2 linked regions of the Macaca mulatta genome follow. The protein of the gene in region 2 purifies or fractionates together with the protein of the main gene of each other region. This does not show direct contact. Links are inferred from orthologs where the notes say so. Each region holds a gene or a part of one and is shown on either strand. Other genes may lie near its edges. The genes, in order: KPNA1 and MAU2.

The links.
Region 1: the proteins of MAU2 (region 2) and KPNA1 purify together in Homo sapiens (affinity purification with mass spectrometry; 3 studies listed by BioGRID and IntAct, with this or other methods). This does not show direct contact. The link is inferred for Macaca mulatta from reciprocal best matches to the Homo sapiens genes MAU2 and KPNA1.

Annotation. Positions count from the first base shown.
Region 1 is NC_133407.1:161,251,021-161,255,414, reverse strand, and holds the start of KPNA1 (importin subunit alpha-5), read right to left. Parts: upstream 2,877-4,394; 5' UTR 2,795-2,876; intron 1-2,794. UniProt on the Homo sapiens protein: Functions in nuclear protein import as an adapter protein for nuclear receptor KPNB1. Binds specifically and directly to substrates containing either a simple or bipartite NLS motif.
Region 2 is NC_133424.1:19,928,321-19,932,128, reverse strand, and holds part of MAU2 (MAU2 chromatid cohesion factor homolog), read right to left. Parts: intron 3,191-3,808; coding exon 3,096-3,190; intron 1,815-3,095; coding exon 1,787-1,814; intron 1,417-1,786; coding exon 1,261-1,416; intron 107-1,260; coding exon 1-106. UniProt on the Homo sapiens protein: Plays an important role in the loading of the cohesin complex on to DNA. Forms a heterodimeric complex (also known as cohesin loading complex) with NIPBL/SCC2 which mediates the loading of the cohesin complex onto chromatin.

The sequences.
Region 1 (4,394 bases), on a different chromosome or scaffold from region 2:
AGGGAAAAGGACCATCGAGAGCAACAGAGAATAAAGAAAATAATCCAGGAAACAACTGACAGCAATTCCAGATTACGTATAAAATAATTTTTAACATAGTTGAGACTAAAGAAAATTATAAAAATTGAACACAGCTCTGAGCCTCCTGACAGTCAAAAGTATGGAGAAACAGGATGGCTTACAAAACAATCTAATAAAACCAGTCATCTGTTTTTAAAAAAAAAAAAAAAAAAAGCTTAATACTGGGGTCTTAGGAAGAATTTGTCTCCAAGGTCTGTATTTTATAGGAACCAATAAATAAATTAGAAATTTCTTCATTAGATGTAAATGAAGAAAATGTTTTTCATGGCCCCTTTTGGTATGTATCAGTTCTAGATAAGATGTATATTAAATCATAGTTCTGTGAAGAAACTTCTATGAGAACCACTTTATAAAGTAACATAATGCAGCTGGGCGCAGTGGCTCATGCCTGTAATCCTAGCACTTCAGAAGGCCGAGGAGGGCGGACCGCGTGAGCTCAGGCGTTCGAGACCAGCCTGGGCAAGACGGTGAAACCCCATCTATACTAAAATACAAAAAATTAGCCGGGTGTGGCCGTATGCGCCTGTAGTCCCAGCAGTCTCAGGCAGGAGAACTGCTTGAACCAAGGAGGCGGAGATTGCAGGGAGCCTGCAGGGAGCCCAGATCGCATCACTGCACTCCAGCCTGGGCAACAGAGCAAGTCCTCCACACCCCCCCCAAAAAATAATAAAATTAAAAATAACATAATGCAAGAACAGTGATTTCAGGTGATACCTTTCCCATTTAGTTTATTCTAGGTTTTTATAAATGTATGTTTTGTTGCCCTACAGGACTGTAAATTCCTCAAGGCTTATGTTGTCTGCTTCCATTTCAACTGCCTTTACTATTTAGTAGAGTGCTTTACAGTTGCTACTCAACTATAACTGATAAAATGTTATGCAGTCAATATTTGTAATATTAGCTTTCCCCGCTACACTATAAATTCCATGAGAACAGTGACAGTGAGTTTTGATCGCGACTATATCCCTCCAAATCTAGAAGATCACTCTATAAGTATTCGCTGATTGAACGGATTAAATAAAGAAAACACAACGAAAAAGTATGAAAGGAGAGAAATAATTTAAATGGCAGTAACTTTGGGTTCTAAGGTTGTTCTCAATAAGAGCTAGAAGACCTCAGGTAAGTTACTTAACATTTGATTGTCAATGCTTTCATCTGTAAAATAGAAAAATTAACAGATATTTCAGATTTAAATGTTTTTAATATATATATAAAGCATTTAACACAATACCTGAAAAAGAACTCAATAAATGTTAATTCCTTTACTTTCTCTTACATCTCATCTATCCATAAAACAGTGCCTTCCAGGAATATATTATTTCAGTAAAAATACAACAGTACTCATTCTTACTTTCCTTTGAAAAATTAAATTTTCATCTCTTTAATCTTTAAAAAGGAGGGAAAAATAATTTGTGGACTGCTTTCAAAATATTACAAATGCAAAAGCTAGTTAAGAAAAAAACAGTGTCGAGAATGAGCCTTGTTGGTGGCACCCGCCTGTAGTTCCAGGTAATGGGGGGGATGCCTTGAGGCCAGGAGTTCCAGATCAGCCAGGGAAACAAAGCTAGACTCCATCTCTTAAGAAAAAAAAAACAGGAGGGGGGAAATCACCTTATCTACTAATAGAGATTTTTAAGCAACCGTTTATTTAAGAAAAAACGGTGAAATTCAAGTTAATATTACTTGACAGTACCCGTTTCAGAAAAAAAAAAAATACTCTGCATTGCTGGGTGTGGTTGCCCGAGACTAGTCCCAGCTACTTGGGAGGCCAAGGCAGGAGGCCAGTTTGAGCTCAGGAGTTGGGAGTACAGCCTAGGCAATATAGCGAGACCCCATCTCTTTAAAACACAAAAATTCGGCAATCGTTTGTTCCGAGTTGAAACCTTAAAAACGAAATATTTTGAACGCTTTCACTTAAAAGTGGAACACGACCCAATCCCAAAAACATTACTTCATGACGACTCCCTTGACTCCAGTCATCCTTCAGTTTTATCCTCCAGTTGTGAGCTTAATCTGATACCTAGCTGTTTCCCTCGCATCGCCACTTTAACACGCGGTGTGCAGACCAAGTTCTGTCATTCCTGTAATTACCACACCCCCAATCAGCCGCTACAGGCCCCTGTTGTTATGACATCTGTAAACTGCAGCCGGTCGTCTCCACCTCCCCGCGCCCCCGCCCCGCTTCCCCTACCTCCCTCCGGGCCGCCGGCTCCGACCCGGGCTGTAACTTGTGAATTCCCAAGACGGTCCCTTCTTGCCAGGGTTAGAAATTTTACACGCCACCCCTGCTCCTTCCTGCCTCTGTCAGAGCGCTCTGCACGGCCCACCTCCGCCTCCCGCCCGCCGCCCAGCCACGGCGCAGGCTCCGCGCTCGCCTCCTCTCCGCCCGCTGCCTCGGCACTCCGCAGTCCCCGGCGCCGCTTACAGCCCTGCCGCCGCGCCACGCCGCCCCGCCCCGCCTCGACCGGCGTTCCCGATGGCGATCACACCAGGGCTCCCCACCCCCACCCTCTCCTCCGCCGGCCGCGCGGCCGTTAGGACAGCAGGGCCCGTGACGCACGGACGCGGGCCGAGCGTCCGGGCCCAGGCACCGCGGCTCGAGGCCCGGCCGGCGCCCGCCCTCGCCCCAGGGCCTCTCCCGAGTCCCTCCCGGACTGCCCGGATCTGCCGGCGGGAGGGGGAGGGGCCGGGGCCGCAAAGCCCCCGCACTCACCAGGCTCAAGGCAACCGATCCCGGTGCCACCGCTGAAGTGAGCCCTCGCTCGCCCGCCCGCCGTGCCGCTCCCCGCGCACAACCTCGAAGAGCTGGCCCGCGCCTCGGCGGTGCTCAGCAGGCCTCGCTCTCCGCCGCCGCGCACCTAGCAGCAAGACTCAGCTCTGCCGGCGTTCGCAGTGCGCCTGCGTGCGGGGGCCGGCCCGAGCGCCTACGCGCGCCCCTCCGGCGCTTGCCGCAGAGGCTGCCGGGAGACGTAGTCTTGTAACGCTCTCTCGCCGCACGTTCCTAGCGATTCTCGCCCAGCCTGCGAAGAGTCGGGGATCGGGGAGAGGAGAGGGTCTCGCTAAGAAGGAGGTTTGCAGACCATAACAAAGGTTGGAGAAAGTTATATGTGCAAACCTGTCTTTGCTAAGCTCTTCCAGGGCGGATCGATGTTCACCTCTGTATAGCTTCTAACAAAGTAGGTAACTAATACGCGTTGATGGAATGAATGATGGAATGATTGAAGACTGAGGGAGTATTACAAAATTAGTAGGTCAGCGCCTCGTGTCTAAAGGGCTCACATGCAGTATGAATGCAAGAAGCTTCTGGACATTCCTTTTTTAGTTATGTCCCATCCCCTTTGCTTGATAATGTATGAGTAGTATCAAAAATAATTAAGTGCCGGGTGCAGTGGTTCACACCTGTAATCCCAGCACCTTGGGAGGCCTAGGCCGGTGGAATACTTGAGACCAGGAGTTTGAGACTAGCCTGGGCAACATCGCGAAACCCCGTCTCTACTAAAAATACAAAAATTAGCCGGGGGTGGTGACGGGCGCCTGAAGTCCCAGCTACTGGGGAGGCTGAGGTGGGAGAATCACCTGAGCCCGGGGTTGACGATGAGGCTGCAGTGAGCCGAGATCGCACCACTACACTCCAGCCTGGGCAACCGGAGTGAGACCCTGCCTCAAAAAAAAAAAATAATAATAATAATAATTAAGAAACTACATGAAACACAAATACTCGTTTAACTCTCAAGTGCTCTCAAACGAAAACTTGGAGCAAATGATTGTTAATGTTAAATTTGATGGAATTCTTTGGGGGAGCAAATGGAGTAGTGGCTTCAAAAGAAAAACTGAAGCCAGCCTAGCAGGGGTCACAGAATAGTAGATAGATTTAAAACATATGCCAAGAAGCAAGGTAAAAGAGATGAGGTAGATTAGTACATTTATAAATGTCCCAGGGAAGAGGAGAAGACAGAGGACCACTCTACCTGAATCCTAGGTTATGCAATGTTCATTTGTCCTGGACTTCACTCTGCTGCATCAGCATTCTCCCGCGATGTGTTTACTAAGATCAGAGTTGAGTTTGAGCAATGTGGCTGGGGAAAGGGAAGGTGTGTTCACCAGGAGAGACTTAAGGGCAAGTTTGCCTGACCCCAGCTAGACTGAAGACAGATCACCTTATTCCAATAAGGAGGTAAGATTGATTATTCAGAGCTGGTCTTCAGTCTTCGGGAAAGCTAATTTATTTCCAGTTCACCCTTAATCCTAGCTAGTCCTTGATGGTCCCATCCAAAAGTCTGGGCTATTTACTCAGGCCTCTTCTCTTTGATGGG
Region 2 (3,808 bases):
GGAAGAGGTCAGCGGGGTTGCTGGGCAGGATCTCATCATCGTGCAGCGTGGAGATGGTCTGGATGCACTGCTGCAGCTGCTTCAGACACGGCTTCACGCTCTTCACCTGTGCAGCACCCACACCCGAGCACCCACCTGAGCCTGGCCTCTCAGGAAGCCGGGCCCAGCCCAGCCACCCCTGCCCCTTCCTTCAGGGAGCACCTGCCTTCCCCTTCTGCCAGGGCCACCTCCTGCAAGATGGACCCGCCCCTGCCGCACTCCCATGAATCAGCCAGGCTTTCAGGGCACGGGGCACGGCCAGGCGGGCAGCTGTGGGACTGAGGCTTGTCCACTGCCCAGTGTTGGGTCCAACACCAAGGCCCAGGAGAGGCCTGTCCAGACCCTGCTGGAGCTGCACTTGGTCTTCCTGCAGCCAGACCTGAGACAGCAAGGGGAGGCTGTGCTCCGCGGGGGTGGGAGGTGGCTTCCTGGCCCAGGAGTCGGGCAAGCGCTGTGGTCCATCTCGCCCTGAGGCCCCGAGGGATGTCTCTGCGGCCCTAGCACCCCGAGGGAAGCGCGGCTGCAGTCTGCTCTGTGTCCCTATGCGCCGAGTGCAGTGCTTCACCCAATGGGCAACGATGGGTATGGATGGAGGAACTGGACAACCCCCTTACCAAGCCCTGTGGAGAGACTCGCCTGTGGCCCACCATGATAGGTGGGTCTGAGGGGCACAGGGCAGCCCCCAGCCCCTGAAGGGCCGAGACGGTCACACAAGCACAGACAAGGAGCTCAAACACAGCTGTTTCCCACCCACGGCGGGGTCATGGAGTCCAGTCTCGGACACAGCTGGGCACATCAGTCCCTACTCAATCCCACAGCAGGGGGGCCAGACAGACACCAGTTGGGCATCTGCTGTGTGCAGGCACCGCCCCAGCACCTCTGTGGTTTATTCTCATGATTCCCTGAACCGTCATTGCAATCTCTGAGCATCCACACACTGAGCGAGTGTATACAATGTCACACATAGTACTCCCAAAGGGAGGCAGGGTGGCCAGGACAGACCCTGCTCCCAGGCACCAGCACACCAGGCAGGCACGATGGTGCCAGCACTCGCAGCAGAGCAGGACAGAAGTGTGTGTGTCTGGGGCTGGAAAGACAGCCCTGCTGTGTGGCAAGGTAAGGCAATGACACAGGTGACCTCACAGCCCAAGACCCATTGGCCTGGGTGCCACCCACACCCACTGGTCACAACCAGCAGCCCGCCCAAGAGGCGCCACACACCTGCCCGGCATCCAAATAGTGAGTGACCTGGAGCACCAGGAAGAAGACACGCAGCGACTCCTTCTGGATGGGGTTCCCCTGCCAGTTCTCCACGATCTGCCCACAGAGGGTCAGCAGCGGGTGCACCTCCTGCAGCTTGCGCTCCATCAGCAGCAGCTGGGGAGGGAGAGACACAGGTGTAGGGTACAGGGCTTGCAGGGGCCCTCCTGGGACTGGGAGCACAGGCTCACCTGCCCACCTGCCTTGGGACTACTGCCTCCAACCCAGAGGGCAAGGCCAGCCTGAAACCCCGGCCCAGGCAGCTCCTAACCAGGCTCCTGCCTCAGCATGAATCCCATCGGCAGGAGCCTGAGTTTCCCTCCTGAACCCAGCAGGGCCTGGGCCTCACACTCCAGGCTGCTCACTATGCCTAAGGGTCTGGGCGTGTGAGGGGCCATGCCATGGAGAGCGGACGGGGTCTGAGCAGGGAGTCCTGCCTCACCTCCACGACACCGGCTGCATCCAGCCATGCCCAGCCTCAACTTACCATCCCCTTGCTGAGGAGGAACAGCGCCCTGCAAAACAAGAGGCAGGGGTCAGGTCCCAGAAGGCCCAGGAGCCTCCTGAGATGACTGTGACTACCCCAAGGCTCACAGGACCTAATATGCCACCTCGGGGGACAGTTCAGTGGACGACAGTAAATAGTCCCCGTACAAGACTGCTCTGTTTTATCCTATTGTGCCTGTGTTTATTTTTATTTATTTTTATTATTTTTTTCTTAGAGTCTCGTTCTGTTGCCCAGGCTGGAGTGCAGTGGTGTGATCTCAATTCACTGCAACCTCTGCTTTCCGGGTTTAAGCGATTCTCCTGCCTCAGCCTCCTGAGCAGCTGGGACCACAGGAGCCTGGCACCATGCCTGGTTAATTTTTGTGTTTTTAGTAAAGATGGGGTTTCACCACGTTGGCCAGGCTGGTCTCGAACTCCTGACCTCAAGTGATCCCCCTGCCTCGGCCTCCCAAAGTGCTGGGATTACAGGTGTGAGCCACCGCGCCCAGCCTGTATTTATTTTTCTTACATGGCTTAGACACACTCATGTGAAAAGCCCAGAAGGGGGCTGGGTGCAATGGCTCACGCCTGTAATCCCAACACTTTGGGAGGCCAAGGTGGGCGGATCACTTGAGGTCAGCAATTCGAGATCAGCCTAGGCAACATGGTGAGACCCTATCTCTACAAAAAATATGCGGCGGTGGACACACAGTGTGAGGGCCAGTGGGCAAGTTTGGGTGCCTGAACTTCAGGCTCAAACCTGTGCCTCATGGTGACCAATTTTTTTTTTTTTTTTTTTTTGAGACGGAGTCTCGCTCTGTCACCAGGCTGGAGTACGGTGGCACGATCTTGGCTCACTGCAACCTCTGCCTCCCAGGTTCAAGCGATTCTCCTGCCTCAGCCTCCTGAGTACCTGGGATTACAGGCACTCGCCACCACGCCCAGCTAATTTTTGTATTTTTAGTAGAAATGGGGTTTCACCATGTTGACCAGGATGGTCTCAATCTCTTGACCTCATGATCCTCCCACCTCAGCCTCTCAAAGTGCTGGGATTACAGGCGTGAGCCACCAAGCCTGGCCCCAACTTTTGTATTTTTTGTGGAGATGGAGTTTCACTATGTTCCTCAGGTTGGTCTTGAACTCCCGGGATCAAGTGATCCTCCCACCTTGACCTCCCAAAGTGCTGGGAATATACTGTGAGCCACTGTGCTTGGCCTGAAATGCCATTTCTGTTCTTTGTCCTGGACCAAGGTGGCCAAGCCCCCTCTATGTTAAGAGAGCGGGAGGGAAGGAGGGGAGTGGGTGCCTACCGTGTGTACTCAGATCCCACTACCCGGGCGTACTCGGCCCCCACACCCAGGAGGTCACAGGCCGACACCAGGTCCTTCTCAAGCGTGTGCAGTTGCTAAAACGGAGAGAGAGAGCAGTGACCTTTGCTGCCAAACCCATCAGTTTTACGGTACCTGGCCTTTGTGCTTTGTTAACCAACAACCAAACCTCCCCACGTCAATGAAACTGCCTGTGTCAGTTGTGAGCTAAATTAACCAAATTATCTCATCAACGCTAATTGCTTTGGGTACAGAGCTCCAGTTGGCCTGTGGTATATATGTCATCTAACTGAATGGTGCCTGCAGTAGACACCGTCTAAACTTAATGGAGCATAGAACCAGCAGTCAAGGCTCATGGCGCAGCCCCCAAGGCTGTGAGAGCACCTAGGGCTGTTCTGAGTGCTTCGTGGGTGCCTGTGGGGTCTGTCTTTAGTGGGGTGTCCCCAGTGTGTTCCAGGAACAACAAGGAGGGACTCCCTCAGAGGCAAGTGTCAAAGCCTGAACAGGCTGAAAGGGAGGCACATGCCTGGCTTGACCCTGCAAGGCGACACCTGCGGGGCCATGGTGGAGAGCTCGGCCCTTGGGTGTGCGTGCACATGGCGCCTGCCAACTCTGTGGCCTGGGGGTGGTGACTCACAGCTTGGCCTGCTCCTTTGTCTGCTAATGTGCACAAGTGTGCGTGGGGAGATGGAAGG